Tribolium castaneum: one gene and its partner. Each later gene encodes a partner of the first gene's protein in a complex. Links are inferred from orthologs where the notes say so. Each region holds a gene or a part of one and is shown on either strand. Other genes may lie near its edges.

Region 1 (3,500 bases):
ACACATTTGAAACAAAGACATTATACAGACCCTTTTTTTACAGAAAATCTAATAATGTTATCATTTTTTTCAACCATTCGTTTAACTGTAATAACTTAGTTTTATTTTTTTTAAATAGGACTCATGGTTGGCTATGACATTTTCGAAAAGCTTATTTTTTCTGATCTGGAAACAATATAAATACAGTTTGATATTTTTATATACTTTTGATAAAAAAATATATTTAAAATATTTAATAATAATTTATTATGCGGTTTTAAATTAATTAGTGTTAGGTAATGTATTTTTCATATTTTTAATTGAAAATCCAAAATTTTTTCATGGCCTACTATAAAGAAAAAGCGAAATGTTATGTTTTTTTTAAATATTTAAAAATAATGTAGTACACAAATAGACATATCCAATCAGAAAAAAATTAACTTTTCAAAATATCACGGCCCCCTATGATTCCTATTTAAGACAATACAAAATGTTATTACAATTAAACGAATGGTTGAAAAAAATCGCTGATAACATTATTAGACTCTCTGTAAAAAAGTTTTTGTTTCAAGTATGTATCTTTTATTATAAAAAAAGGTATGGTTTTTTTAATATTTCTCTAAAATGTCAACTTTTGTATATAAGTCGAAAACAAAAGACGATATCAAGATCCGCTTTTGACCAAAATTATTATCTCAAAAAACGGTCCTGGGAATCTGTCACTCGTTTTTCCTATTCGGACATCCAAAATGCCGCACCCTGTACATTACCGCGTGTTTCGCGTAAAAGTAGACTATTGCTAAAATAAGAGGATATTCTGAGTATTTCTGTTGAAAATTTATCGGAAAGTATTCATAAGTAACTTGGCAGCGATTTTTCAAAAATTGGTGTACTTAAAGTCTATCCGATATTGAAAACGGCTTAGCAATATTTTAAATAGCAAAAAAGTTATAGACCGATGACACACCCCTGGATTACCCTGTATAAAAAATCGTTTACTGAGAATCGGTTTTTCATAAAAAAATCCAGTTAAAAATTAAAAAAGGAAACCCCGAACAGCTCTATATGCAGATAACAAAAGATGATTAATTAAAGGAAAATTATACAAATTATTACAATTACTTCTTTATTCGTAACTTGAAACTTAAAAATAATGCGGAAAAGATTAAAAATTTTGAACAATAGACGTAACAATATTTATGTTCTTCCTGAGTTATGTCGAAAGCGATTTTACTGGTTTTCCTCATTTCTCAGTGATTTATCGCCAAACGTTATGCACTCACTGTTACCGAAAAGTTTCATTCCACTTCTCCCAAAATGGTTCGTTTAATTTACGTGTCAATGGGACGCATTGTATGAATTAAATATTTTCGCAATTATTTTCTACGATACTCTTGACAATAATTTTGCATTACATTGAACACGTAATACAGTAATATTGCTTAATATCCCAGTTCTGGCAAGAGGACAAAACCATTTGACTCGATTGATGTCATCTATTGTATTTGTAATACACATTCATTATTTTGGAAAAGCCCTCATTTCGGAGCGAGATCTTAACATCATTTCAATGCAAATTATTGCAACTCTCATTAGCTATCCTTGTTTTAATTCTACACAAAACAATATTTTTGAATTACTCACTTACTTACTTTTCTTATAATAAGTATTTGTATTTTTTGCTTCAGGTGGCTTCATCATTACTTACAAATGGACCAGTTGTCGGAAGTGATATTTTACAACGCCATTCTATTAATTCTTTGTTGGATCAACATGATATTTTATTAGACATCGCTAATAAAAACAAACAAATGTACAATAATTTTATGGGTGAGTATGGAATGCAACAAGAACCAGTTTTTACAAAATTCTAAAGTGAAAAAACATTAATTTGCGACCTTAATTTGTGATTTTTAAAACGCCAATTTCTACCATCATTAATAAATTTTAACAAAATTTGGCAAGAAAAATGTTTTTTCAACATTGTTTATTTTCAACAGAATTAGATGGTGTTTTAACGAAATCTTTCCAGTAGGTTTAGTTTGGTATTTGAGTTTAACATTAAAAATGTATTTAAGCATTTTTTGGAAAGCTATACTTTAATGGACTAAAATTCAGTGTTTTAACGAGTTTCTTTTTGAAAAAAAAAAACTTAGTCACACTAAACAGCCCAAAAGAATGTCAATATCAATGTAGTTTAGTTGTTTTTTTTTAGCGAAATTCCACAAAGTTAGTCCGTTTTTTCGATTAGAGAAAAGATAAATCTAACAAAAAGGGCAAAAATCATGTCATTTTCGGCCTCATTTGGTAAATTCACTACAGCGTGCTCAAAAAATGGCGCACCAACTCAATGGTGTGTGGTAGAGAACTGGTTAAACATAAAGCTAAAAATAGTAAAAAAATTCATTGTATTACAGTTATTGATAAATAACGGATTTTAGATAAATGATATGTGGCAACGTTGTCTAACAGTCATGATCGCAATAGAATTTGAGCAACAATAAAAATAAATTATTTTTGAAACGGTTTCCTAGGAAATAATTCCCTGTGTTGCCACATCTACAAATTGTGATTTTTTGGATGAATTTTAATTTTTTTAAGTTAAAAAAACTGCTAAAATCTGATAGTAAATTTAAAAATAATTATTCATCGTTTTGTTACGGAACGATTACCTGGTATGATACATGAAAACATAAAAAAATAATGAAAACTGAAGAAGTTAACAAAATAAGTTTGTAGCTCCAGATTTTTTAAAATATGACTTTTTTCAACATTTTTCCCGTAATCTGCACTTGCTTCTCAATAATGTACCACTGAGTTGGTGCGCCAGTTGTTGAGCACCCTGTATAAACAGGTCAAAAAAACTTCGATTTTGATCAAATTTTTTGACAAAACTTACAATTTTCTGCCTTCACTGGTAAACTGTTGGTCACTGGACAGTGAATTTTTAACTGAAAAATGTGCTTAGCCTTTTGAAAAACAGAAAACAATGACTTGTTCAGTGGGGCAATTTCGCCAAAAAAAAATTGCACATTTTTGTTGAAAAGTTCTCGCCTTTTTATAAGCACATAAATTTTTGACAAATTTTTTTTGCCCCAAAACAGACCCTCTAACATGAATGTGGTCTGCAAATTCATCATCATAAATGCCTAATTAAAAAACGAGCCTAAATATTAGATTTTCAAATCTACTTGTTCCCAAGAACAAACTGAAACAAACAGTATCATTGCTAGAATTTCAGATTTAGGTAGTAAATAAATTGCAAGCACAAAGATCTAATTAATTTTAATTAATCAGTTTAATTAAAATTATAATAACAACAGTTAATTTTGTAAACCACTAATAAACGAATTATCGACATTTGGATATATTTTTTGTAAAGGGGTCCAGGACACATCATACTTTTGTTTAGGTGGTTCACTGAATTTTAAAGGTTGGGAACCACTACTCTAACAAGACGGACAAAATAATGTAATTTTCTTAATTTTTCGAAATGTGTTCAAGTATTTATAATACTTATT
Region 2 (2,769 bases), on another chromosome or scaffold:
AGGAGTTTTAGCGATTTCTCTAATTTTAGTACAAAAATTTCGTAGTATATGATTTCGGCATTCAATTTTTTTAATAAAATAATTAGGCCCGTATGGTCTTGCATTACGAATTTTTTTGTAGACGCTACTATCACCATCTCCTATGAGGTTTTTAAATCTTACGTTATGCATGTCTACTGATTTTTTAAATCCATCCAAAATAATTGCTGCTTCCATTGAAGTTGAAGTGTTTTTCCAATTTTTAAAACATTTATGAGGGGGCGTCGTTTGGTTTTTTTTCTTATAATACATACATTTTTTACAATTTTTATTTTTAACTCCCACGTATAAAATTTTTTTAGTCCTTGCACCGACTATTGTTGCAACACCAGAAGATGCGTTATATTTTAAAGAAATACACAAAATTTATATAATGTAAGAGTAACGCAGCTATATCTTCGCAAGCTAGTTATAGAAAAATTGTATAAATTTAATAAAAAAACGAGAAATAATTCCTAAATTCTAAAATAATACATAATTATAAAAGTATCATTTATTTTACAAGGCGTAACGTAAACAAATTATATCCCTAAGACTGGATCTTACAATCTCTCGATACGTTATTTGTACTATAATTATTACTGGGTATAGTTAGAATAAATTTTTACAACAATGTATTTTTCAGAATTTATTACCTGGATAAAATTATCAGACGAAAAAGCGGGTTTAATGAAGTTTTCATCATTTTAATGAGATATTCCTAGTAACTTTTTTAAAGTTAAACTGTTTTCTGAAAGAACAATAATGTTTCACCAATTAATTTTTTTATTTTATATTTTTTCAATGCAAGTGATCCAATTAGAAATGCACATGACACATAATATAGCGAACAGAATTCGGTTAATTAAAACATAAAACCCAATAAATAAATGGTGTAATGGTGTATTATTTTTTACAAAACTATGCTAGTATTTTATTATTCTTTAGTATCAAATTTTTTTAACAAAATAAAAAACGTCTTTTTTACTGTATGTTGCTTGAATCTCTGAAATAAGAGAAACTATCGTGGGCGATAGTGGAATTCAGTTTGTTTACATTATTTGCATTTTATGAGAAGGGACAAGACACCCCGAGGCGAAGGTCGGATGCCTATCCGATGATTGACAGCTGTCACTGAAAACAGGTCTAAAAAAGTATGCAACTTGTAGTACACCAATTCTCAACAATCGCTTCGGTACCCTGAAGCCTTAAGAGAAGTTTGTGTTTTTCAGTTTTTCTCAATATTGAACGTCTTTAGTGTTGGCAACCAACCATACAATCGCTTATTTTGTTGGTGTGAAAGTGGTTTGTGTCCGGGTATTTCCGGAAACTGAAGGAGCTAACTCGTGTAGCTGTCTTCACAGAAATAAAGCCTCGAGTGAAGTTAGCCGATAAATAAACACGCATTCTAGGAAAATGGCGGACGAACAGTTGCCTACTGGGTGGGAAAAGCGGTTAAGTCGGTCAACCGGTAATTCGGTTAAGTTTTAATCATTCTCCCTTGACTCAAAACGTGTATTTTAGGCCAACACTACTACCTGAACGTTTACACCAAAGAGTCCCAATGGGACGTTCCCGACAAACCGGCAGAACCTGTGTCTTCGAGCGGCCCCGAACAAGTCCAGTGCTCACATTTACTCGTCAAACACAAAGACTCGCGAAGACCGTCCTCTTGGCGAGAGGAGAACATCACAAGGACTAAAGACGAAGCCTTGGAATTAGTCAAATGTGAGTGTTTTTGGCCAAGAAATGTCACCACTTTTGAACGTTTTTTCAGCGTATCGCGAACAAATCGTCCAGGGCAAGGCCTCGTTTGCTGACTTAGCCTCAAAGTACTCGGATTGCTCGTCTGCTAAACGAGGGGGCGACCTTGGCTCGTTCAAACGGGGGGCCATGCAGAAGCCCTTTGAGGAGGCGTCGTTTGCGCTCAAGGTTGGGGAGTTGTCAGAACCTGTCTTTACCGATTCGGGGGTGCATATTATTCTGCGTACTGTTTAGATTTGTACTCTTTCTAGACCATTTTTACATTTATTATAAGTTCATTCATGTTCTTTCAGGTCTTGTTAACGTAATTTATGATGCATCTATGCCAAACAAATTCATATTTATATATATTGCGATGAGATTGGAGCTGTAAATTTAGTGTAAATTTCTTTTATATTGTACTTTTTACTTATTAATGAGGTAACTTATTCCTGATACTTTTGTTATTTTGTTTATGCACAATAAAGAGCCCTAAGCACTCCTGTTAGCCCGGATTTTATTCCAGAATCAAAAGTAAAACATTTGCTAAGATGCAAGCATAATACAAGTGAGGATGAGAAGATTTAAATCAATAATAGGTAATAACTATCTTTTATTTTCAAAGTGCCTTTCGCGTAGTTACAATAGTTCGAAACTACTAATACACACAGATTTTTTTACACAAAAAGTATTGTTGCAACGTTTTGCTTGTACACCATTAAATTTTATTGAGATTACTTCAAACCAGGATGTAGTCTTTCAGACGAACCGATCGGTATCGTAAATATCTTTTGGTCACCGTTGTCGAAACATCTTATTTTGAGGATTGTTTATCATAAACAGCATTAACTGCTGTAAAACGTTATGGTGTAACTACAAAGAAAACGATGCTTCAATAATAATCAATACAGGGTCTTCCACGTAATTTTACAAGGCCTGCGCCTGTAAAATGCAATCAACAATACATATTCCAATACGAACTCGATTACAAATTTTGAAAGATTGGAT

The links. Proteins that work in one complex are often made in the same cells at the same time.
Region 2: the proteins of orb (region 1) and peptidyl-prolyl cis-trans isomerase NIMA-interacting 1 are in contact, whole or in part, in an NMR structure (PDB 2N1O), measured with the Homo sapiens proteins. The link is inferred for Tribolium castaneum from reciprocal best matches to the Homo sapiens genes CPEB1 and PIN1. Residues at the interface, in NP_001352172.1 of Homo sapiens: Arg206, Ile207, Ser208, Pro209, Pro210, Leu211, Pro212, Phe213; in NP_006212.1 of Homo sapiens: Arg17, Tyr23, Ser32, Gln33, Trp34, Glu35.

The regions. Positions count from the first base shown.
Region 1 is NC_087400.1:9,088,809-9,092,308, reverse strand, and holds part of orb (cytoplasmic polyadenylation element-binding protein 1), read left to right. Parts: intron 1-1,667; coding exon 1,668-1,809; intron 1,810-3,500.
Region 2 is NC_087394.1:12,589,712-12,592,480, reverse strand, and holds peptidyl-prolyl cis-trans isomerase NIMA-interacting 1, read left to right. Parts: upstream 1-1,331; 5' UTR 1,332-1,434; coding exon 1,435-1,489; intron 1,490-1,542; coding exon 1,543-1,746; intron 1,747-1,795; coding exon 1,796-2,016; 3' UTR 2,017-2,269; downstream 2,270-2,769. UniProt on the Homo sapiens protein: Peptidyl-prolyl cis/trans isomerase (PPIase) that binds to and isomerizes specific phosphorylated Ser/Thr-Pro (pSer/Thr-Pro) motifs.